7 linked regions of the Macaca fascicularis genome follow. The protein of the gene in region 7 binds, or shares a complex with, the protein of the main gene of each other region. Links are inferred from orthologs where the notes say so. Each region holds a gene or a part of one and is shown on either strand. Other genes may lie near its edges. The genes, in order: DPM3, PIGY, DPM1, PIGA, PIGP, PIGH and DPM2.

Region 1 (2,446 bases), on a different chromosome or scaffold from region 7:
AATCGCAGCACTTTGGGAGGCTGAGGTGGGCGGATCACGAGGTCAGAAGATCAAGACCATCCTGGCTAACACGGTGAAACCCCGTCTCTGCTAAAAATACAAAAAATTAGCCAGGCGTGGTGGCAGGCGCCTGTAGTCCCAGCTACTCAGGAGGCTGAGCCAGGAGAATGGCGTGAACCCGGGAGGCGGAGCTTGCAGTGAGCGGAGATCGCCCCACTGCACTCCAGCCTGGGCGACAGAGTGAGACTCTGTCTCAGAAAAAAAAAAAATAAGAAGTACTTCCTATAGGGCTGAAAGGACCAAGAAAGTGAAATGTCATTTCCATCCTGAGAGATCTTGAGAAGGCGTCTTTGCCTCCTTGGGAGCAAAAATGGGAATACCAGCATGATGCAAAATACAGGCTGAGATGGCCTCAGGAAGGTGGTTCTTTCACATTCACTTCTCGACAGTTAGTACACTGAATCCCCAACACCCATTTTCCATACTCAAACTAAACGAAGTTAGAAAATACTGGCTCTTTAATGGGGCATGGGAGGAAGGGCTGTCCGGACAAGAATGGGGTCAGGCTGTCAGAAGCGCAGCCCCCTGCGGGCTAAGTCGGCTCGGGCCTCCTGTATCTGGCTCTGCAGCTCGCGTGCGGCGTCCTCGCAGTCATGAAAAGTGGCCACACGATAGCCCACAGTGGCCAGGGCATAGCAGCCGGCGGACACCAGCAAGTAGGCGGGCAGTGGCCACAGGACTTCCTGGCAGGACAAGGGCAGCTCCAGGCCCATGGCTCCCGTGGTCAGGGCCGCCCAGGTGGAGCCCAGGATCGCCAGTCCCCAAAGCCACTGCGCTAATTTCGTCATGGTCACTGCGAGAAAAGAAAACAATGCTCCCCTGAGGAGCAGAAAGGAAAAGAGGACCAAACTCAACCGAAGCCCGCCCAGGGAGAGAGCATTTAAACCAACCGTAGCCAGAGGGGAATCGCCGATCCCAGCGGTCCGAACTTGAGTGCCCACAAAAGGTGGAAGGGTTCCTTCCACCTTGCTACCCCCCTCTATATTTGAGACCCACTCCCCATCTCTCGCCCTCTCCGTTCAGCTTTCAACCTACACTTACCTCTACCCCACGTCTCCCATTCCCCGCGCGGCCCGGATATTCATGTCCGGAAGTCCTCCCTGGCTCACGCTCCGCTTCCGCGCGGCCTTCTGGGAGTTGTAGTTCACATGGCGGTCCTTGGCGTACTCTTGGCCACCGCCTCAGTCTAGGCGGGGTCCAGCGGACTGCGCTCCGCAAACCCGGAGCAGGCTGGGTCTGGAGAGGCCTGGGCGCTGTTTCCCCACCTTGGGCTCCGCTTCAGGCTGGCTTGGATCTTGAGGACATCCTTAAATGTTGCAACAAGATGGGAATATAATACTGTTCCCCTTAAACTCAATTCTCCAGAGCTGAAATCCATTCCTTCATTCACTGGTTCATTCATTCGAACATGTCTTTCTTTTCTTTCTTTCCGTTCTTGACAGGGTCTCTCTAGACTGTCTAGGCTGGACAGAACTTTTTTTTTTTTTTTGAGACGAAGTCTCGCTCTGTCGCCCATGCTGGAGTACAGTGGCGCGATTTCAGCTCACTGCAACCTCTGTCTCCCAAGCAGCTGGGATTACAGGCGCATGCCACCAAGCCCGGCTAATTTTTGTATTTTTAGTAGAGACGGGTATTTCACTATGTTGGCCAGGTTGGTCTCAAACTCCTGACCTCAAGTGATCTGCCCACCTCAGCCTCCCAAAGTACTGGGATTACAGGCATGAGCCACTGCGCCCAGCCAGAACATTTACTGATTACCATGATAGACTTTGGAGATACAGAGATATCACGCGACTCGACCCCTCTTTGGATGGAGGGGGAAAGCAGGAGTCAGGGAAACAGTTGCATTGACAACTAACCATGAAGGCTTGAGATTATTGTTAGAACAGAGGTAGTTATATTTTTACAAGGACAACAACGAATATAACTTGGAGCCAGAGGAAGAAGGGCTCCAGGAGGCTGTGTTAAAAAAAAAAAAAAAAAAAAAAAAAAAAAGAAAAGAAAAGAAAGATCGGAAGAATTACGTGAGGTGGTGAAGGCACTGAAAGAAGGAGTATAATTCTTTCGAACATTTTTGGGGATGAATTTATTATACAGAGAAAGAGAAAGAGAGAGAGAGAACTAAGTAAGAGAAAAGGTTAGGCAATTATCAACTTCAGAGGAAACAAAGAGTTATAAAAGAAAGGAAAGACAATTGATAAAAGCCTGTCTTATAAAGACCACATCTGTAGTTTGACAGGTTTATTAACTTGCTGCAACAGAGAGAACACACTAGAGGAACTGTGGGGCAATTCATTAAAAAGGAAGAAATATGGTCATTACAGGTGATATGGTTTGGCTGTGTCCACCCAAATTTCAAGTTGATAAGTATCTCCCAGAATTCCCA
Region 2 (2,754 bases), on a different chromosome or scaffold from region 7:
GCTTCGCGACCGGCTGCTCTTTGCAATCACCCGGGGACCGTTTTAAAAATGCCGATTCCCCTGCAGCCCCCAAGACGGGCAGACTTGGAATGCTCGGGGGTTGGGACCTGAACATTTGTATTTTCTTTTTTTCCTTTTAAGAGACAGGGTGCCCCCCTACGTTGCCCAGACTGGCCTAGAACTCCCACCTCAGCCTCCTCAGGAGTCGGGAGACAGGCGCCGCCGCCACGCCCAGCTTATTTGTGTTCTTAAATGGTCCCTAAATGATTTCTAACGTACCACCAGGTTCTTGAATTACTGCGATTCAGGACAAGTCCAAAGCCATCCGGTTTTTAAGCCAAGATAATGAAAAGTATTTTACCCTCCAGATTCTTGTGAAAGTGTCTTGTACAACTGGTGCCTGACAATCTTAAGCAATTCAGCTGTGTATGCTGCCTGGTGGCTCTTAGTTGTGGCCTAGCAGATTTCTTAGAAGCCTCTTTAACCTAGTTTTTGGGAAGACAGCTCTACAGTTTCCAAGCTCCCAAAAATGGAATATTGACAACACTAACGCTAGTATTACAAATCGCATAAACGAAACACCAAAACGTTGTCAGTGGTTATCTTTGAGTGGTAGATTGCTAGCAATTTTTCATATTTCTTTTTTCCCATAATAAACATATTCAGTTTTCTCAAACCTTGAAATTATTTGATTTGCGTTTATAACTAGCTCACGGCAGACTTACTGCTTTCCAAAGTTTCCTCATTTCTGCCCTCTCACCTTTTCCAGTGATTTCCTTCTAATGGATTAGTTAAGTTTTTCTGCTTAGCATTTATTCTAAAACGAAGAAGTTGATTTTTCTCTAGTGTTTATTCCAGTAGTAAATTAACAGAGATGATTTGGGGGTTGACCAAAGTAATGAAGGAATATTTGGATAAGAGAGGGGGATCTTTTCTGACTAGTATGAAAAAAAAATTAAAGAATAACTTGTGAATAAGGTGAAAAAGAGAATATGAGAGAAACTGACTAAAATGGGAATAATTATAGATTCTAAGAGAATTTTTCTAAGATAAAAGGTTGAATTGGCTATCGTTGCTTTTAATGAAAGAAGACTATTCTGGGATTAACTCCATACCAAGAATTGGATAAATGATGGTATTTGTTGAAAATCAGGCTCTTCAATTATTTTATTTTTCCACAACTCATTTTGTTCTTTTTTTTTTCCACCCCAGATATGAAGCATCAACAAATGAATTGATTAATGAAGAGTTGGGAATAGCTTATCCAATCATTGATGGGATTCCTAATATGATACCACAGGCAGCTAGGATGACGCATCAAAGTAAGAAGCAGGAAGAAGTGGAGCAGCGCTAGTTCATAATTAAAAAAACATAAAACGCAACAGCCAACTTTTCTTAGTACCATATACCTTTTAAAACACAGTGGCAGGTAATAAGTGGAAGAGAAGAATGTTTCTGTCTCTTCCTACATTGACTGTTCTTATTCCACTGGTTTCTTTAACAGGACTGTTCTACTCAGCCTCTGTGGAAGAAAACTTCCCACAGGGCTGCACTAGCACAGCCAGCCTTTGCTTTTACAGCCTGCTCTTGCCTATTACCATACCAGTGTATGTATTCTTCCACCTTTGGACTTGGATGGGTATTAAACTCTTCAGGCATAATTGATGCAACTAGAGTCAATATGCTGTATACATTAATGGTAGTTCTTGGGCATCTATCTCTGAAAGCTCAAATGGATGGAATTGAGTTTGTGGGAAAGAGGCTTTGCTTTGCGCATATCAGGCTTAGGACTGTGGGAGGCTTAAGTTGCAGGTGCTTCTTTTATTGTGCTCTTGTTCTGCCCTTGTTTTTTGAAGGCTCTGACTTATAACTGCTGTATCAGAAGAAACATTTTGACAGTGTCTTGTTGGAGATAAACATCCCTAATTGACATGTGATGACTATTTCTTATTCCATTCATCTAAAAGTCATTGAAATTTTGTTTTGCTTGTTTGTTTAGCTTCAAGGTCTTTGGTAAAGTCACATGTTAGGGATGACTGAAATAATTCCAAAGGAGTGATGTTGGAATAGTCCCTGTAAGGGAGAGAAATGCATTTGAATGAATGTGATACAAAACCATATAATGAAATAGAAATTTCATGTACTTACAAAAATTGAGTTTGTAAAATTACCTTCATTTCTTTGACATTAAATGCTTATATTAGCAATAAAGATGTTGACACTTTCCCATAAAAAATAAACCAGTTTGTAATCATTTGTTTTGTTTATTTGTTTGGTCACAGAAGTGTTATTGATACTAAGGGAAGTTGTAAAACTGCACTAAATATAGCTGTGTTGAGAGAGGTACTTAATACCTAAAATAGAATCATTTCCTAGGAAAGTAGGGGGTGGGAAGACTTGCAAGTAGTGGATTGTGCCCTGTTGAGCTTAGAGCCATATTTTGAGCCACATTTCAGTTTATTTTCCCAGGACGCTGAATAACACCACTAAGGGCATGAGCATCGACACATTAATAGCCTCTGATTTTCCAGAACTTTCAGTAAGACTAATCGAGCATAGTATAATACTTCTGAAGTATAGTGTGTTTCAGTAGTTAACCCAGAGAAACCAAAGAACCGAATACAAACTTTATTTTTATTGGAATCTTATGTTAACAGAAACCTGAAACAGTGATTCTTCTGCATCAAAAAATTAAGACATGTTAGATGTGTTTTCTTTTGAATTAATTCAGGGTATACTGTAGTATAAATGACA
Region 3 (3,500 bases), on a different chromosome or scaffold from region 7:
TAGCTTAAACTCAGAACAGCTTCCAAAATCTTATTCACAGAGGTTTTGTGATCTTTGGGCTAAGAATATAATTATATTGCCTACAAATAAATTATGTATACTTTACTAATATTTAACTAAATTCTTGCGTTACTGTATTAACATTTCCATGTTTAATGATAGCTAGCATGCCTATCTTAATGAATTTACTGGAAATGATTCAGCATTTCACTATTTGGTGTGATATTTGTATTAGGACTGGGTTATTTTTATTATGCTTAAGAGGTTTCCTTCTATTCTTAAAGTTTTAACTAGAAAATGGTAGTAAATAATATCTCTTTTAGCATCTACAGAGTTAACCACACTACTCATGAATGAATTATGAGTGATTACCAATAACGAGCCATTCTGGCATTCCTGGAATAAACTCTTTTGTTCATGGTGTTTTACTCTAATAACTCAAGGCTTAATTCCATTTATCAAAGAAGCCGTCTTCCACCTTTTTCTGTGGTCTGAAAGAATTCAGATTAACAAAGGAACTACCTATTGATTTGCTCCTCAGGACTCCTAAAGTACATCATTTAGTCTCAAATGTGTGTTGTATGTGTGTGTGTCTACTATCTATACAGATAAATATTTTAGAGACAAGGTCTCACTCTGTCTCAGGGTCACCAAGACTAGAATGCAGAGGCATGATGATAGCTCACTGCAGCCTTCAAGTCCTGGGCTCATGTGATCCTCCCACCTGAGCCTCCTGAGTAGCTGGACTACAGGCGCATGCCATTGTGCCTGGCTAATTTTTGTTATTTTTTTTGTAGAGATAAGGACTTGTTTTGTTGCCCAGGCTGGTCTCAAACTCCTGACTTCAAGCAACCCTCTTGCCTTGACCTCCCAAGCTTTGTTTATATTTTTGATAGAAAAAAAAAGTACGTATATTTTTGATTAATAAAAAATGAAAATAAGCCCAAAACCAGTAAGATAAACGGTTCCAGTCATATTTCTTTCAAATATTAGAAATAGTACCTACCTAATAAATTCAGGAATAAATTTTGGCTGAAATTTGGAAAGAATAAACAGTAAAGTCAGTAAAATAGGCTAAGATTATCATAAATAGCTAATAAAGAAACATACCACTTACATGGTGTGAGAGATCAGCATCCATAATAATTATGTAGTTTCCTGTGGCATGTTTCATTCCATGAATATATGCAGTTCCTAAAAATGAAAGTATATCCATTCAAGAAAGTCAACAGAAATCTTAACATATACATTTGAACGTGGAGGAAACTGTTTAGCACCTGAAGAGCATACATTAGTCCTCTAAAAGTGGTATTCATAAATCGGTATTTTTCACCTTAAGTACACAGGTTCATGTATATTACATATATAATCAAGAAGGTAGCTGGCCACACACCCCCATTCAGATGTCAATTTAATAGAAGAGATCATACCTCTATTTCAGTTGAGCAAATAGTTTATAAGTTCAAAAGTCTGAGATTATGTAGCAATTATCACATTCTCATGCTTTAAAAACCCATCTGGTGTTTCCTTAGCATCCCCCTAAGAGACTGATGAAGTCAGACCCTTCCTTAGAGCTCCACATTTACAAACCAGCTTCCTACTTAACATCTCCTTGTGGGTATTTCAGAAATCTCAAAGATAACATCGCAAAATCATCTTCCAATTCTCTACCTCTCTCTTACAGGCCACCTCTCCAGGAAATGGCACCAACTATCCAATTGCTCCATCCACAGGTCTAGAGATGACTCTTGATTTCCTACTTTTAACCATAACTTCTAAACTATAATTAAGTCCTATTGATTCACCACCCAAAACATTTCAATTCCCTTTTTCTTGTCGATCGTCACTTAGTTCCAGGTGCTACCTTCTGATGCTTAGATGACTACCTAACAAGCCTCCCTGCTTCTGCTCTTCCTAGCTCTAAGTCCACTTCCACAAAAGCCACACACTGTCTTTTACACTGTATGCCTGGTACGCTAGACCCCTGCTCTGGTATTTGAGGCCAAAGGCCTTGCTGACAATTACTTAGCCAGCTCCATGCCTCAAAGTCCCACAGGGACTTGGCAGGCTAGGGTAACTGGTCAGGAGCAGGACTTGGGGATTCCTGCATTCTCTAGTCCAGACACCTCACAGGTGTTTTATAAGCAAGGCTGAACTCTTCTAACTTATTTTGTTAAGAAGTGAGTATCAGCTGGGTGTGGTGGCTCATGCCTGTAATCCTACCACTTTGGGAGGCTGAGATGGGTGGTCACTTGAGGTCAGGGAGTTCAAGACCAGCCTAACCAACATGGTGAAACCTCATCTCTACTAAAAATACAAAAAATTGGCCAGGTGCGGTGGCTCACGTGTGTAATCCCAGCACTTTAGGAGGCTGAGGCAGGTGGATCACCTGAGGTCGGGAGTTTAAGACCAGCCTGACCAACATGGAGAAACCCTCACCTCTGACTGGGAATTTCCCACAGTTCTAGCTCCTGCCAGGCAGCCCCCACCCCATCATTCTAGCTCCCTCTGGGCAGCCCAGGTTCTTAGGCTCTTAAAACATCTCTTCCTGCTGTTGCTCCATCCCTAGGGGTGGCAGTGACCTCCAGCTGTTACTAATCTTAGTAGCCTCACTGCTCCATTTGGTTTCTCAGGAACTCCTTCACCAGTGTAACCAGCGACTCAGTATTAAATTCCCTACACCGAAAGACTTACAGTGGTTTCTATCGTCCTGAGTGGGCCTTGACTTATACAGGCAACCCAAGTTATACCATTTAAATGTCATTAAGATCATTAAAAACCATCACAGTAAGTTACTGTATTTTGGCCCTATTCCAAACTGGGCAAATACACACTGGATCATGTCACCAGGCAAGTAGCAGGCATGAGGGGTTAGAGGTTCCGCGACTTACCTAGTCCCAACTTTTTCTCCCGTGGTTTTAGAAGCTGTAAAATAAGAAACAGCATTTTACACAAAGAAACAGAAATGTTATCATGTTAAATTTTATTTTATTCAAAAGTGCATACTCATTTTAATAGAAATATAGTTGCACTTGTTAGAACTTAAAGCAGAGTATGGTTAATGTTTTTTTGCCAAAAGGAAAAAAAAAAAAGCATTTGGTAACAAACCAAATAGTTTAACATAGCTTCTGAGGCAAAGCAACATTCTTTAACCCCGACCCTACAATCAAAATTAAATTTTTTTTTTCTGTTGTCACTCACTCTATTTTAAATAACATGTCCTTACATCTATACTTGAATTTCCTTTTAAACCTATTGATTCCTTCCTAGAAAAATGTAGGACTTACCTCATTATTTCACACCTTCTTGGGAAATCTGATGTTTGTTCTCTCAATTCCCTTTGGGTTTTGAATACTAATATCACTCTTCCTCTATTAACTTATCTTGACCTTATGCTTGGATGACCTCATCTCCTCTACTGGTCCAAGGACATGTCATATTCCTAATTAAATTCTTTCTCTTTTTATTTGTCATTTAGTCCTTCTTAATATTTTTGCTTA
Region 4 (3,139 bases), on a different chromosome or scaffold from region 7:
AACAAGAGTGAAACTCTGTCTCAAAAATAAATAAATAAATAAATAAATAAATAAATAAATAAATGAAAATACACTAACAATAGCTGATGAGCTGAAAAAAAAAAGAAAAAAGAAAATCACAAGTCTCATAATGTTTTAAGAAAGTTTACAAATTTGTGTTGGGCAAAGTAGAAAGCATAATTATGTAGCTCACATACGCAATACAGTTTGTAGATCTTTTCCTTTGTCTCACATGATAACGCTAGGGCAGTGAAAAACAAGGGCTTATTTGGGTAAGGAAACAAAGGCACAATTGAACTTGCTATTCCATGAGTAAGAGAGAGAAGATATTCTAGAAACAAAAAATGACAGAGTAATTCATCGCCCAAAGGGTATTTCTTGTTTTACTAATAGACCAAGCAACACATCCAAATTGCATTGGAAAAGAATGTGTCGGGGGCAGGGATAGCCTGTTCCACTAGTAAATAACAGTCTGGTCATAAAATAAGACAAACAGAAAATTAGCAAAATGTCATTCTGGTCTTTATTTTTGGACATGTAGCATGTTTTAACAAATCAGTTTTTCATAGGCAACCTTTTGAAACATCAAAAGAAATACAATATAGTTTTCACAAATTCCTCATCACTGTAAATTCACTTTAAAATCAACGTAAGTAGCAGGGTAGAGCAATGTGTTTCCACATACCGACCAGTGCAACACTGACAGTTACAATTAAGGTATCCAGGAAGGCTGAAAATCAAGATTTACGTAAAACAAATTTACTTCCATTTGTTAAAAGTAGTAATTTGCAAATTACATGTCTTACAAGCAAAGGCAACTAACTTTAGATCTTATTTCCATCTCAAATAAATGACAATTTAAGAATTAAATGACAATTTTAAAAAATCAAGCAAAAATATAAGGAAAAAATGGTGGCGTGCGTCTAAAACCTGTTGAATAGAATAATAGCCAAATATTATAGTTTCTCACTTTACAATGAATATTGGCACTGTTTATTTCATGTTTATATGTGAGTTTTTATGCATAAAAATCCCAGTAAGACTGAATGCTTTAGATCAGTCCATTTTTCTCCAACAAAAGTGCCCCTAACTTCTAGATTTCAAAAACTGCACTCTTGCTTTTGCATTTTAGTACAAACAAAACACAAATATATTTCTTTTATATCAGTGCAACCAGGTAATAGGCATGTTATTTTTTAAAAAGTAACAAATTTTGTGAATGTTGTCATTTTTAAAAATCCTATACAGTATCACAACACTGTCAGAATCTATGTAGTGCACCCACAAGGGCCTCACTGTTTTGAATTCACAGTCCTTTTCTCACAAAAACCTTAAGAGTTCAAAGAATTGATAATACACACCATGTGAATAATTTGGGGTTAAAAAACCCATGGCTCTGGGCAACAACAATTACAGTTAATACGATCCAACAACAAAGACTGTTGCTAAAATTTTCAACTCGGTTTGCTATAAATAAAACATTCTGAAGTAAAGCTTTTTGCATACTGACAATACTTATCAGACATCAGCGAGGCCACAGTGAAGGGGAGTGACTTACATTAAAAGGACAGGGTAGCAGCTGGTTTTGGGATGGCACACCTCATACATTCCGCTCAGAAAACACGAAGGCATTTATAGAAAACTCAAATATGCACTGAAAAATATGGAGGGTTTCTCTGCACTATCAACAGTGATATCGGTCCCCAGTATTGAAAAAGCAAAAAATATCTTCATAAACACAACTGAAGATGAAGGCTCTACCTAGGAGAATGCATACAACAGGTACTAGTAGTGTGTTGGTGATTTTTTTCCCGGCATTAACTGGCAAGAGCATTTTTGGCATGTTGGATATTTATCTCATATCAACAATGATTATGATGAAGTAAGCCATTTGAATGGTAAACAGAGAGTGAATGCACCCCTGGTCCTTAATGGCGGGAAACATCTAGTTCAACATTCTGCACAGAGCAGGGGTTCAAAATGTGCTGGTTACTAATGGACTATCTTACTCAAGGAACCTGTTAATTATATGTAACACCTACTGAGTGAACCTAATAAATGTTTAAAGATGTGATTTAGATTTCTAATAAACGTATATGAACATGATATAAAACAGTTCATATAATTGTTGTAGTTCCCTAAAGAAAACTTGTAAACATCTGGTGAGTGTCTAATGGTGTAACATTAAAAACTGGCCAAAAAATGCCCAGAAAACGTTTGGCCCTTCAGCACCCAAAGCTCTCAAAATATAATGTTAAAACATCTCTGCTACAGGGATTTCAGTAGTCTGAAAAATTTCATACCTGAGTGGCTTAAATGTTCTCTCCTAAATTTTAAATAAGTGCAAGAAGTTTCTACACTCAGGAATTGCATAACTTTTTAATCTTTCCTCAACAGAAAATATTGAATGATATAGAGGTAGCATAACTTACTAAATTAACTCTAAAAAAAACAAAACCCCCCAAAAGCAAGGTTATTTTCCATAGTCTTAATAGAACTATTAGAAATGTTGAAAATCTTACAATCTAGGCTTTCTTCTACCTGGTTTTAGATATCTCACTATTCTCACCCTCTCTTTTACTGTGAGAATAGTTATTAGTCCAGGCACCCTGTGGCCCAGTGGCATCTACTGCAACATCAATGATGGAATCTGGAGTCATCCATCTCAAGAAAACGAGGAAGAGGAAGCTGAAAACTGCCAACAAAGCAAAGATGTAGCCTGTTACTGGGCCGCAGTGAGAAATAAGTCTGTCCAGTCGTTTGTCCATTGGCAACACAGCTTCCATTGATACCCGGTCATATACCTAGAGGGAAAGAAGGCAAGTGTGAGCACTTTCACCCATCACCCCATCACCTGTCCCATGATAAACAATGACCGGATCCTGCAGGAACATTTTATAAACAAACGCAAACAAAAGTTGCTTGTGTTTTGTTGCTGTCATAGTAATGATATCCTTAATGAACTTAATCACAATAATCATTGCCATTTGATTCAAAACTTACTGGGTACTTATTCTGGGCAAGACACCAGGCTAGAGGCTGTGTGATACAAAGAATAAGCCACAGTACCTCTCCCCTAGGGAGTCACCATCAATTTTAGCCAACTACTAGAATTCCAAAGTCCCGCAAAGTCTGAACA
Region 5 (4,235 bases), on a different chromosome or scaffold from region 7:
GTGAACCCGAGAGGCGGAGCTTGCAGTGAGCCGAGATCGCGCCACTGCACCTCCAGCCTAGGCGGCAGAGCGAGACTCCGTCTCAAAAAAAAAAAAAAAAAAAAAAAAAAAAAAAAAAGACACAGCAGCACATTAAAAGGCCCTCCTTCCACTCCGTATCCTCCTTCCCCTTGCTTAATTTCTCCCCATGGTACTTTATCACCTGATACTGTATACGTTTTTCTTATTTAATTTGTCCATTGACTATCTCCCCCCAGCGTTAGAATAAAAACTCTATGAAAGCAGGGCATTTTTGGCTGTTTTGGTCCTTCCTAGCCTGTAACAGTGCCTGGCACATGGTAAGCACCAATAAATACTTGAATTACTTTTTGGTTGTGTGTATCATGGAATTTAATTTTTTTTTTTTTTTTGAGACAGAGTTTCGCTCTTGTTGCCCAGGCTGGAGTGCAATGGTGCGATCACCGCAACCTCCCCCTCCCAGGTTCAAGCGATTCTCCTGCCTCAGCCTCCCAGAGTAGCTGGGATTACAGGCATGCGCCACCATGCCCTGCTAATTTTGTATTTTTAGTAGAGACGGGGTTTTTCCATGTTGGTCAGGCTGGTCTCAAACTCCCGACCTCAGGTGATATGCCTGCCTCGGCCACCCAAAGTGCTGGGATTACAGGCGTGAGCCACTGCGCTGGCCAGAATTTAAGTCTTAAAGTGATTGCTTTTATTTATTCATATAGCTTCTAATCCTTGATACATTCTTTGAACAAGGATTTACGAAAGTTGCTAACAATAACATCAGTAGCTAACACTTATTAAGTCCTTAACCGTTCCTAGGCATTATTTTACATGCTTTACATAAATTACCCCGGTTAATCCTCACAACAGTCAGAAGAGGCAGCAGAGTGAAGTCAGTCGGTGTATTTGGGTTCAAATTTAGAGGCCTATCATTTAGTAGCTTTGCAATCTTGAGTAAGTTACTGAAACCACAGGATGCTCATCTTTAAAGGACAATAATAACAGAACCTACCCCATAGAACTGTTTCATGTGTCATAAGCATTTAATAACCATCATTATCACTAACCTTTTACAGATAAGGAACCTGAGATTCAAAAAATTTGCTGAGCGTCCCAGCTCACATGGGTAATCTGTGGAGGAGTCAGAATTTGAACTCAGTTGTAACTTCTTCACTTCATTTCAGTTGTAACAGCCTGGCCATTACATTCATCTGCAAGCTGTACTGATGGTGCAGGCTGATATATTTTAGTTAGGGTTCAGAAGTACTACCACTCCTCCACTTTCCTAGTTTCCAAAGAGTTGCAAAACGCTGGATCAGGGGCACTCAATTTTCTCCCTCTTGTGTGCCTCAAAATTCCCAAATCCTTTTGGGGAGAGACTTGGGGCTTGCTGTGTGACTGAGCATACTAGTGTCTCAGTGAGCGTCAGTCTCCGTATCTGTAAAACGGAACGTTATGGGGATTAAGGGAGATCCAGGACGAAAAGGACACACCTTTCAACCTGACTTCTCTGGGCTACTTCTTTTGTTCCCCAGATCCCCGCAGGGCACACTGGTGCCATACCAAGCTCCTCGGGTCCAAACCCTCTCACGCCCTCATTCACGGCCTTTCCACGTCGTCCCTCTCTCCTACTCTTTTCTAACCAGCATCAGTGCCAGGGGGAAAGGCCTCTGTAAAAGCCTTGATTTTCCAGTCTGGTTTCAATGTCTCTCCACCGTGCTCCCCTGACACTGAGCACTAACTGTAGATTTACTCATCTGTCTCCTCCACAAGACCACGACCTCCTTAAGGGCAGGGACCAGGCTTTATTCACTTTGCCATCGCGTCTGGCGCTGTATAAATATTTGTAGAGACTAAAACCTCCTAGGCTAGTGCTGGCACACAGAACACTCAACAAACACGAGTTCCCTTCAGATTCTCTTAAAAAGAGACATAGGGAGAAAGAATCAACAGTTCATGTGTACACAGTCTAACCAATGGATTCTTCCCTTGTCACTGAACGCCAGAAAAAGCCCCTGGCCATCCATCAGGAAAGTACTTACTGAAGCCAAACTGGGAGCTTAAGAAAAGAACAAAGCCATAAATCGCTCTTTCTGGCAATGGCGACGGTGAATTTTCCACCATTTTTCCTGGGGCTTTAGACAACCTGTGGAAAAGGAACACAATCAGCCATCAGCGAGGTGCTCCCCGGCACCATTGGTCCATTCTCGCCCCATCGCTCCGCCGCGGGCACGGCCCCCGCCGCACAGAACCGCCTCCCGCGCCCCCGTCCGCAACCCGCGCCCCCGCCTCGCGCGCACACAGGCACCCAGGTTGGCGCGCGCCCCGCAACAGAAGGGGTGGCGGGGGATAGGGCAGCGAGAGGGGCTCGGGGGGACAGAGGCGCGCTCCAGCTCTGCCAGCGTGGTCTCCCTGTGGGAGGGGAGGGCAGGGAACAAGGCTCGCGCGGCGCCCACCAGCACGCGGGCCTGCTGGGTCGCGGCGCCCAGGCCCCGGGCCCTGCCCACTCGTGGAGATTTATATTTCTCATTCGAGGCAGGGTATGGGGGGGCCCTCGACCTCGGGTCCTTCGTACGCCCACCCGGGCCCCTCTCGACACCTCGGCCACCTCAGCGCTGAGTTCTCTGCGCAAGGGCCGACCAGGCGCCGCAGTGGGGGAGAAAAGAGGAAAACCTGAGGGAAAGGCCTAGGCGCAACGACACCCCCCACCTTGGCGCAGGCGCACGAGGACCCTCCCTGGGTGGGAGCCGGGCGGCACGAGGCCGGCGTGATCCCGCGAATCGCCACGGCGAAGGAGGGGGCGGTGGGGTGCGACTGCGCAGGCGCGCTGCCCGCCCACGTGATGCACCTCCCTTCAGCGCAGCCGCCCACTCCCTCCCGCCGTCGGCTGACGTGGAGGGCCGGAGGTGCCGGCTGCGGCGGCAGCAGCGGCGGAGGCTGCTGCCTGCGCCGAGGCTCGCGGGCGGCGGGCCCGGGTGAGTGCACACCCGGCGCGCGGCCGGGCTCCCGGATGTGTCACCTTGTCCCGCTGCAGCCGAGATGCCGGGGGAGTGGGGCATTCCACACCCCCTCCGTGGGTGTGTGGTGAGTGTGGGTGTGTGCGCGTCACCCCGCGTTCCTCGCTGCGGTGCCCGCTGTGTGTCTGCATGGGTTGGGGCCCCGCGCAATGAGGGGGTGTGGCCGCTATTGCCTGCCCCAGTGGGTTTGTCCCCTTGGTCTGGTGCCCTTTTGCGAGCGAGGCCCTGGGATGCCGGAGCGAGGGTGGGAGTAGTCGCTTTGTGCGCATTCCCCCGCTGCCCGTGCCTCGGCCGGTGCGTGGCTGACACCCCCTGCTGGGTGGAGGGGCCCGCGCTCGCGTGTCGCCTCGTGGTCCCCTTTGTGTCGGTGTCCGCGCTCCCTGGCGGCTGCGGGGGCGCTCTCGGCCTCGCGGGTGGCCCCCCCTTTGTGTCACTGCCCATGTCTGTGGGCTGCGCGTTCCCCAGCGCGCGTGGCCGCGCCTCCTGTAATCGCGACCCCCGCCTAGAGCCTTGCTCGCGCGAGTGTGCGTCCTCGCGTGTCTCCGAGTGTCCCCAGAGTGTCTGCGCATGGGTTCTGTCGAGTGCGTGATCTCATGTGTGCGGGTTTAGTTTTGTCGAGTGGGTATCTCTTGTGTGCGGGTTTCGTTGGTGCGTGTTCGTGAACGTTCGTGCACATCCCTTGCTGTGTGTGCGTGTGTTCACGACTCTGTTGTCACCTGTTTTCGTGTGAACTGGCAGTCCAGTCCAGGGCCTGTCCCTACGGAACGGACCCAGGAGGGGGGTAACCTCGCCGCTCCCCTCGCCCCCGCGCCTCTTTCTGAGCATCTTCCCCCACAGACGCTAAAGGGAAGGGGGGTGGACAGGATCGAGTCTGGCGAGTTGCTCCGCAGTGTTGACGCTGCCAGTTGCTCCGCAGTGTTGACGCTGCCAGTGTGGCTTCTTCAGCCAGCCTGTTCAGGGCACAGAATAGAGGGATCAAAGATAAAAAATGGAGCCGAGACAGGTGAATTTGGGCTGGTACCAGTTCGCCGTGCGTTTTCAAACAGAGGCGCCCTGGACGTCAGAACCCCCTCAGTTGCAGAGACCTTTCAAAATATATGCACACGCCTGCTGGGCGATGCTGTCCTTAGCCGTTCTTGATGATATTTAATGGTTTGTAGAGTATTTTATGGCATTCACCTAAATCGCTTTCCATTTTGCCCAACATCCTGG
Region 6 (3,500 bases), on a different chromosome or scaffold from region 7:
TGGGTTCAAATGATTCTTGTGTCTCAGCCTCCCGAGTAGCTGGGACTACAGGCACGAACCACCATGCCCAGCTAATTTTTGTATTTTTAGTAGAGACAGGGTTTCACCATGTTGGCCAGGCTGCTCTTAAACTCCTGGCCTTAAGTGATCCGCCCACCTTGGCCTCCCAAAGTGCTGGGATTATAGGCTTGAGCCATGGTACTGGGCCCACATGCAACTTCAATCTCTCACCCACATCAAGGGGTATAAATGGCACAGCAGTGAGCTCAGGGAGTTAAGTTTAGGCCTCAGCACACCTTGCTGGGAAGAGTCCCAGCTAGGCTCACAGCCCACCTTGTGAATTGTGTGAAGTGGGAGATCAAATGATAGCTTTTTCATCTGTCTAAGTTTCATGAACTCCATCTCTAAGAGTAAGCAAAGAGGAAAAACAAAATGGACCCTCAAGAAATGTCACACGTTATAAAATAGCCCTCAAAGACAAGAAGGGCAGTTTAATATGTAAATATTGAAAAATGTTTTGTACAATGAAATGTAATAACCAAAATTAAAAGAAAAACCACAGAATGGGAAAAATATATGTGAAAGTATATTTAATAAAAGTATACTACCTAAAATATATAAAGATTGTTAAAAATATATAAAAACAGGTACAAATACATAATATTCAGATTCTTCTTGACTAATAGAGAAGATAGGTAGTTTAAAATAAGAGGAAATACTGATAGGTAATACAAGGAAATATGAAAAGCCTATCATTTAAAGAGATACAAATTTACCTATTTAAAATGCCTTTACCTACATATTAAGCTAAAAAAGCTAAATCCACTATTAGCCAGGATGGTAGAAAAAGAAGTACAAAAGCCCCAAAGTATGGTAATGTTGTCCAATCTCTGGAGCCCCATCTTAAACACTAGAAGTCTATAAAACTATTCATAAGCTTTAATAAAATAATTTTTAATTATAATGCAAAATAATATTTTAACTTAGCTATCTTAAATCCTTTGTGAAAAAGGTCAGTGAGGCAGGGTTAACTATATACATAAATACGTGCATAAATACCTACCTCTAAAATAATTTACTTCGTAATTTATTATGTTTGTATAATTTATTATGTTTGTATAATTTTTGTTTTGTTTTTTGAGATGGATCTCTGTCACCCAGGCTGAGTACAGTGGCATGATCACAGCTCACTGCAGCCTTGACCTCCTCGGCTCAAGCAATCCTCCCACCTCAGCTTCCTGAGTAGCTGGGACCACAGATGTGTGCCACCACGCTCAGCTAATTTTGGTATTTTTTGTAGAGATGGGGGTTTTACCATGTTGCCCAGGCTGGTCTCGAACTCCTGAGCTCAAGCGATCTGCTGCCTCAGCCTCCCAAAGTGTTGGGATTACAGGCGTGAGCCACTGCACCAGCTGATAAGTGGTTTTTTTTTTTGTAAGAGCAAAACAAAAAACTCCAGGCAGGATTTTAAAAGGTGGCAAGAGTGGCTAAATAAACTGACATTTCAATATATTATACAATATAGTTATTTAAAATAATAAATATAATGGCCTTTGTAGGACACATACATATTATTTACAAAGCAAGACACACAATAGCATACAATGTGAGATCAATGACCTCTATCTAAAAAACTGTACATTAGTAGACTGACAGAGTCAAAGTAGATGAATAGTGATTTGTAGGCAGAGGTTGCTATATATTTGATTGTGCTCTTTAAAATGTGCATGAGGCCAGGTGTGCTGGCTCATGCTTGTAATCCCTACACTTTGGGAGGCTGAGGCAGGAGAATTGCTTGAACTCAGGAGTTCAAGATCAGCCTAGGCAATATGGCAAGACCTCATCTCTACTAAAAAGAAAAAAAAAAGTTAGCCAGGTGTGGTGGTGCACACCTGTAGTCCCAAGTACTCAGGAGACTGAGGCAGGAGGATTTCTTGAGCCTAGGAGGTGGGGGCTGCAATGAGTGACGATCACACCACTGCAAGCCAGCCTAGGTGACAAAGTGAGACTCTGTCTCATAAAATAAAATAAAATAATAAAATATGCAGGAATAATATTTTTAAGGACTATATTTGCCTCAGAGAGGAACTTCTCAAATAACTGAAATCCTAATTATCACTCAAAACAGCTGTCAGGTGTCTTCCAATACTCTGAAAAAAGGAATTTACATTCCTACAGAAAAGGTTGAGGATTAATTGGACAACGGTAAAAGTGTTCTATGCTCACCTGGAAGACAGGTACTACTTGGGATATCCTATGTGGTTCCACTGGATCCTTCAATAAGATGCAGAGGTAGTAAATCACCTTCTGCTGTAAGAAAATAAATCAAATAGCAAAGTCTAAGTGAAACTCATTTTGCATTCCTTTTTTCTTTTTCTTTTTCTTTTTTTGAGACAGAGTCTCACTCTGTTGCCCAAGCTGGAGTACAGTGGTGCAATCTTGGCTCACTGCAACCTCCACCTCCCGGGTTCAAGCAATTCTCCTGCCTCAGCCTCCCAAGTAGCTGGGATTACAGGTGCTTGCCACCATGCCTGGCTAATTTTTTGTATTTTCAGTAGAGATGGGGTTTCACCATGTTGGCCAGGCTGGTCTGGAACTCCCGACCTCAGGTGATCCACCCGCCTTGGCCTCCCAAAGTGCTGGGATTACAGGCGTGAGCCACTGCGCCTGGCCACATTCTTTTTTTCTAAGGTAAGGCTCAACGCTTTTTCACAAATGGTTAAGTAGTAGAACACTTGATAGCTTTTGAAGTGGGAGAAAAGTATATTCTTGTTCCTTAAATGAAAAAAGACAGGGCCAGGCATAGTGGCTCAAACCTGTAAACTGAACACTTGGGGAGGCCACAGCAGGAGGAGGGCTTGAGCCCAGGAATTCAAGACCAGCTTAGGCAACATAGTGAGACTCCATCTCTACAAAAAATAGAAAAAACGAGCTAAGCATGGTGGTGCATGCCTGTAGTCCCAGCTACTCAGGAGGCTGAGGTGGGAGGATGGCTTGAGCCTGGGAAGTTGGGGCTGCAGTGAGCTGTGATTAAGCCACTACACTCCAGCCTGGGTAACAGACAGGGTCTCACAAAAAAAGAAAAAAGAAAGAAAGAGAAGGAAAAAATGCCAGTGATAATTTTGGAGTTGGTCTTGAAGATAAAGTTGAAATACTAATTCTCTATCCATGAAAACCTGCTGCATCTCTTTAAAAATAAGGAGATTTACCTTTTACATATAAGTCTCACTTTTATGGTTTATAGACATGCCAGCCAAAAAGAAAACTCTAGTACTGTAAGTACTAGAGCAGAGGATCTTCATGTTTAATTCTGTGACATCAAGTACTTTAGGTATTAAGGCTCAGTATAGATCTGGGAACACCCCATGGGCTGGCTACCTCCTCCAGAGAGGACTGTAATACTGCCTTTCAAATACTTACCATGTAGATAGCCTCATTGATGACAATATCCTTGACCTTGCCCATTTCTATGAAGGTAGTGCTTTCTTTGCCTGAAGCAT
Region 7 (4,207 bases):
TCCAATGTCAGCATGTGACAGGAGGGGAAGTGAGGCAACATGGCAAAACCCGGGGGAAAAGGTGGCAGGGAGTCTGAGAGTGAGGTTGGGAGACCAGCATCTTTTAGGCCCTGAGCAAGAAGGGGGTGACTGGAGTCTTCCAGGTATTCCTCCCTCCTAGCTTCTGGAAGTGAGAGTCAGGGAGGGGGCTCCGGTCAGGCAGGGGTAAGCTCCATGTCATGGGGACTCTGCAGGACAGGCAGGCTGGAGGCGCCACTGTGCCTGGACAGGTTCTGCAGGCTCCCCTACTTGGTCCCTGTGCTGGAGGGGAAGCAGAGAAGGGGCTGGCAGCCTCATCCCCGCGGGACCTTCACTGAGCCTTCTTGGTCACCCTCTCGCTCTTCAGCATCACGTAGGTGATGAACAGTCCTGGAATACATAGACCAGAAAGGCCACATAAGATCTAAGCTCAGGGCTGCTGGGAGGCCAGGGCACGACACAGCAGAGCCACCCACACGCAGGGCTGTGAACCTACCCAACCACTCTCCAGGGAACCTGCTTATCTCCCTAGTCATTCGTCAAGCCATAGGTCCACTCACATTCATTCAACAAACACCAGCTGAGTGCCTGCCTCAGGCAAAGATGCTGCATTTAGTGTTTCAGATTCCAAGGGGAACAAGATCCACCCATCTATAGATCACCCAGTCAACCACTTGTCCACCTATATACCTACCCACCTCCTATACCTCACCCACCCACCCATCCATCCACCCATCATCCAGGCACCCGGCTATTGACTGACTCATCCAAATGACTTTCTGAGCACAACCTCAGTGCCACAGCCCATTCTAGATGCACAGTAATGATGGAGACACAGTCCCCGCCCCTAGGAAGCCATGAGAGAGAGAGGTGCAGGAATTAGAAGCCAGGGTGACAAGAGGGTGACTGAGGTGTGAGCAGAGCAATGATGGGGTTGGGGGCAGGAAAGAGGGGGACAGGTCATTGGAGTCCAAAAAGCCTGGGGCACCAGGAAACCCAGAGGTTACTGACTGGCAACCTCGAAGGATGAACAGGAAAACCCCAGGGGTGAGTTCGGGGCAAGGAGCTTCCAGCAGTGCCAAAGTGTGGAAGCATGTTCAGAGGTGGGGTCCCCCCGAAACCCTGCCCGGGGTCAAGGGGAGGAAGTGATGACTTACCCACAAACAGGAGCAGTAGGAGGCCTGCAGCCAGTGGGATGGCGACAGCATAGGCTCGGGGCAGGAAATACTTGTGGATGACATGCTCACTGTCGATGAATGGCTGGCATCGAGGGCAGAGCTCTGGTGAGCCTTGCTCGCCTTGCCCAGCCCCCAAGCCCAAACACACCACCTCTAGCATCTAAGGGGCTGGCCCATTCAGAGCACTGGGCCTGCATTTGCTTTTCTTTAAGATTATGGCATTTGGGTGTCATGGTTTGTTTCCTTCCTTAATTTCTTATTGGTATTTACCGGGCACTTGCTTTGGTGCCTGCCATAGGTTGGTGGTGGGGACAAGAGAACAGGGGACAAGAGACCAGCCCTAAGGCACTCACAGGCTAGCAAATAGTACATGAGGAATCCTCGACTGACTCCCAACCTGGGCCTCCAGGGATTCTTCACTAATATTTTTTCCCTAAAGGATAGCAAGTTCTGCACTTCCAAACACACTGCACTTCTTAAGCAATGACCAACACGTTTTCCCACAAGAAAAAAATATCCTAAAGGCCTTCACAGATATCACTGGCGCTCGCCATGCCTGAGTCAGCAGGCTAACCCAGAAGGAACATAACTCCCCCAAAAGTCAAAGCAAGCTGGAAACAGAGTTTTAAGTGTAGCGGCTAAGGATGCAATCTTGGGCCAGATCCTTCTCCCCGAGCCTCAGCTATCTCATCTAAAAAATGCGGCACCACTGGCATCTTCCTCATAGCGTTGTTTTGAAGATTTCAAGAGATAAGGCAGGCAATGAAGCCAGCGCCGTGCCTAGAACCTACATAGAAGTTGCTTTGGCGGTGCCAGGGCTACGGGAAGGTGAGCAGCGGACGGGGAGAATGACATACCAAGAGAATCACCCAGGCGGTGTAGTAGGTGAAGATGATCAGGCTAACGGCGACGAGGCCGAGTCCCACCACCTGGTCTGTCCCCGTGGCCTGGAGAAAAGGGAGGTCTCAGCTGACGAAGTGACTCTCTATTTTGGCGTACTAATGGAGGCGGGGCGTCGCGGCCCAATCACGGTCTAAGCTTCCCATTCAACAGATGCTAGAGGAGGCCGGGCGCGGTGGCTCAAGCCTGTAATCCCAGCACTTTGGGAGGCCGAGACGGGCGGATCACGACGTCAGGAGATCGAGACCATCCCGGCTAACAGGGTGAAACCCCGTCTCTACTAAAAAATACAAAAAGCTAGCCGGGCGAGGTGGCGGGCGCCTGTAGTCCCAGCTACTCGGGAGGCTGAGGCAGGAGAATGGCGGGAACCCGGGAGGCGGAGCTTGCAGTGAGCTGAGATCCCGCCACTGCACTCCAGCCTGGGCGACAGAGCGAGACTCCGTCTCAAAAAAAAAAAAAAAAAAAAAAAAAAAAAGATGCTAGAGGGCTGACTAGGGATCAGTTTCTAGGCTGGGAGAGAATGCCAGGCCTCCGCGTTATCGTCCGTACAATAGGGGGGGCGGGAGAGCAATCCCCGTTCCAGTGCCCATGCCCCAGCTTCTGAGTACCCGAGACCCCACCCCCAGACGCCCCTATCTCCGGCACTCTGTCCCAATCTCACCATTTCCCCGCGCGTTCAGTCACCGGAGCCGCAAGCCACATCCGGTTCCGGATTCACGCTTTTCCGGCTTTGGGCTGCGGAGCGCGCCGGGAGTCGTAGTCCCCAGGCCGGCTCAGGCCCACGTCGTCGGAGACTAGCAGGAACCGCCTCCTCCCCTTTGCATATCGAGGAAGTGTAGTTCTCAAGAGCATTGTGGGGCCGGTTGCTGCCCGAATCTCCCTAGGGAATGGGACCGAGTTGGGGACCCAGACTCCCTGGCCTTCATGGCCACAGTCCTGTCGCCGCCCCACCAAAAGCCAATCTCTAAGTATCCCAAAGTCCTGGGGTCAGAGTGAGATGGGAGTGCGGGATCGGAAGTTCCATTTTTCAGATGGGAAAAGCGAGGCTCAGAGAAAGGTAGATCCCAATCCGAGTCAGTGGTGAAGCCGACACGGGAACTGGGGGGCCGTAACTAGTCTGTAGGTGGGAGAGGCGCAGAGAATGTTCACTTTTCAGCCTAGGATGGGCGGGGGAGGGTCTGTCCCCAGCCCGCATGAATGGGGAGGATTTGGATTGGTGGAGAGGGGGCGCCCTCCTCACCATCGCCTGGCCTCCTGGGCCACCCTCTGGATGTCCCCTCCTTTCCTTCACCGGCTGCCTCTCGCAGCAGCCCAGACATGTTTCGGACCAGAACCCACGCACAGGCCCCTCCCCGATCTTGGAGGATCCTTCCTCTGAGAACAAAGGGATGTTGGGCCAGATCATCTTCCACGCTTCTTCAGCTCCGAGATAGGAACGCGGGCCCCCACCACTCACCGGCCGGCTGCTCCCCATCCATCCAGCCTCACTGGGACGCCACGTTCCCCAGGGAAGCCAGCTGGGAAGGGTTTTTTTTCTTTCTTAGAAACGGAGTTCTATGTTACCCAGGCTGGTGTCGAACTCCTGGGCTCAAGCGATCCTCCCAACTCGGCCTCCAAAAGTTTACAGGCGTGAGCCACCGTGCCCAGCCTCCTGTGCCTTTTAATTCACTGACACACTTGTTCATCCGGCCCTGTCAGCTCCCTGAGGGTAGGATCTGAGATTGCTGCTGTATCCCTGGCACCCCGTGGAGGCTTGGCCCAAAGTAAGAGGTTTTTTTTGTTTTTTTGTTTTTCCCCCAGAGATGGGAGTCTCACTGTCGGCCAGGCTGGAGTGCAGTGGCGTGTTCTCAGCTCACTGCAACCTCCGCCTCCTGGGTTCAAGTGATTCTCTTGCCTCAGCCTCCCGAGTAGCTGGGACTATAGGCGCGTGCCAACACGTCCAGCTAATTTTTGTGTTTTTAGTAGAGATGGGTTTTCACCGTGTTGGCTAGGTTGGTATCAAACTCCTGACCTCAGGTGATCCGCCCACCTCAGCCTCCAAAAGTGCTTGGGTTACAGGTGTGAGCATCGCGCTCGGCCCAAAGTAAGAGTTTTGAACCAGCCAGCTTTAA

What was found.
Region 1: DPM2 (region 7) and DPM3 share a complex: the UniProt entries of both Homo sapiens proteins name them as parts of the dolichol-phosphate mannose (DPM) synthase complex. The link is inferred for Macaca fascicularis from reciprocal best matches to the Homo sapiens genes DPM2 and DPM3.
Region 2: DPM2 (region 7) and PIGY share a complex: the UniProt entries of both Homo sapiens proteins name them as parts of the glycosylphosphatidylinositol-N-acetylglucosaminyltransferase (GPI-GnT) complex. The link is inferred for Macaca fascicularis from reciprocal best matches to the Homo sapiens genes DPM2 and PIGY.
Region 3: DPM2 (region 7) and DPM1 share a complex: the UniProt entries of both Homo sapiens proteins name them as parts of the dolichol-phosphate mannose (DPM) synthase complex. The link is inferred for Macaca fascicularis from reciprocal best matches to the Homo sapiens genes DPM2 and DPM1.
Region 4: DPM2 (region 7) and PIGA share a complex: the UniProt entries of both Homo sapiens proteins name them as parts of the glycosylphosphatidylinositol-N-acetylglucosaminyltransferase (GPI-GnT) complex. The link is inferred for Macaca fascicularis from reciprocal best matches to the Homo sapiens genes DPM2 and PIGA.
Region 5: DPM2 (region 7) and PIGP share a complex: the UniProt entries of both Homo sapiens proteins name them as parts of the glycosylphosphatidylinositol-N-acetylglucosaminyltransferase (GPI-GnT) complex. The link is inferred for Macaca fascicularis from reciprocal best matches to the Homo sapiens genes DPM2 and PIGP.
Region 6: DPM2 (region 7) and PIGH share a complex: the UniProt entries of both Homo sapiens proteins name them as parts of the glycosylphosphatidylinositol-N-acetylglucosaminyltransferase (GPI-GnT) complex. The link is inferred for Macaca fascicularis from reciprocal best matches to the Homo sapiens genes DPM2 and PIGH.

What each region holds. Positions count from the first base shown.
Region 1 is NC_088375.1:106,001,690-106,004,135, reverse strand, and holds DPM3 (dolichol-phosphate mannosyltransferase subunit 3), read right to left. Parts: upstream 1,144-2,446; 5' UTR 1,102-1,143; intron 880-1,101; 5' UTR 849-879; coding exon 570-848; 3' UTR 501-569; downstream 1-500. UniProt on the Homo sapiens protein: Stabilizer subunit of the dolichol-phosphate mannose (DPM) synthase complex; tethers catalytic subunit DPM1 to the endoplasmic reticulum.
Region 2 is NC_088379.1:94,070,560-94,073,313, reverse strand, and holds PIGY (phosphatidylinositol N-acetylglucosaminyltransferase subunit Y), read left to right. Parts: upstream 1-1,354; 5' UTR 1,355-1,449; coding exon 1,450-1,665; 3' UTR 1,666-2,254; downstream 2,255-2,754. Other genes in the region: PYURF (protein preY, mitochondrial), read left to right, coding at 1,213-1,354. UniProt on the Homo sapiens protein: Part of the glycosylphosphatidylinositol-N-acetylglucosaminyltransferase (GPI-GnT) complex that catalyzes the transfer of N-acetylglucosamine from UDP-N-acetylglucosamine to phosphatidylinositol and participates in the first step of GPI biosynthesis.
Region 3 is NC_088384.1:107,047,382-107,050,881, forward strand, and holds part of DPM1 (dolichol-phosphate mannosyltransferase subunit 1), read right to left. Parts: intron 2,926-3,500; coding exon 2,892-2,925; intron 1,195-2,891; coding exon 1,118-1,194; intron 1,033-1,117; coding exon 1,007-1,032; intron 1-1,006. UniProt on the Homo sapiens protein: Transfers mannose from GDP-mannose to dolichol monophosphate to form dolichol phosphate mannose (Dol-P-Man) which is the mannosyl donor in pathways leading to N-glycosylation, glycosyl phosphatidylinositol membrane anchoring, and O-mannosylation of proteins; catalytic subunit of the dolichol-phosphate mannose (DPM) synthase complex.
Region 4 is NC_088395.1:15,124,015-15,127,153, forward strand, and holds the end of PIGA (phosphatidylinositol N-acetylglucosaminyltransferase subunit A), read right to left. Parts: intron 2,805-3,139; coding exon 2,538-2,804; 3' UTR 501-2,537; downstream 1-500. UniProt on the Homo sapiens protein: Catalytic subunit of the glycosylphosphatidylinositol-N-acetylglucosaminyltransferase (GPI-GnT) complex that catalyzes the transfer of N-acetylglucosamine from UDP-N-acetylglucosamine to phosphatidylinositol and participates in the first step of GPI biosynthesis.
Region 5 is NC_088377.1:9,901,947-9,906,181, reverse strand, and holds the start of PIGP (phosphatidylinositol N-acetylglucosaminyltransferase subunit P), read right to left. Parts: upstream 2,801-4,235; 5' UTR 2,537-2,800; coding exon 2,463-2,536; intron 2,153-2,462; coding exon 2,049-2,152; intron 1-2,048. UniProt on the Homo sapiens protein: Part of the glycosylphosphatidylinositol-N-acetylglucosaminyltransferase (GPI-GnT) complex that catalyzes the transfer of N-acetylglucosamine from UDP-N-acetylglucosamine to phosphatidylinositol and participates in the first step of GPI biosynthesis.
Region 6 is NC_088381.1:135,494,109-135,497,608, forward strand, and holds part of PIGH (phosphatidylinositol N-acetylglucosaminyltransferase subunit H), read right to left. Parts: coding exon 3,421-3,500; intron 2,311-3,420; coding exon 2,227-2,310; intron 1-2,226. UniProt on the Homo sapiens protein: Part of the glycosylphosphatidylinositol-N-acetylglucosaminyltransferase (GPI-GnT) complex that catalyzes the transfer of N-acetylglucosamine from UDP-N-acetylglucosamine to phosphatidylinositol and participates in the first step of GPI biosynthesis.
Region 7 is NC_088389.1:16,050,622-16,054,828, reverse strand, and holds the start of DPM2 (dolichol phosphate-mannose biosynthesis regulatory protein), read right to left. Parts: upstream 2,801-4,207; 5' UTR 2,761-2,800; coding exon 2,758-2,760; intron 2,144-2,757; coding exon 2,054-2,143; intron 1,279-2,053; coding exon 1,176-1,278; intron 409-1,175; coding exon 350-408; 3' UTR 1-349. UniProt on the Homo sapiens protein: Regulates the biosynthesis of dolichol phosphate-mannose. Regulatory subunit of the dolichol-phosphate mannose (DPM) synthase complex; essential for the ER localization and stable expression of DPM1.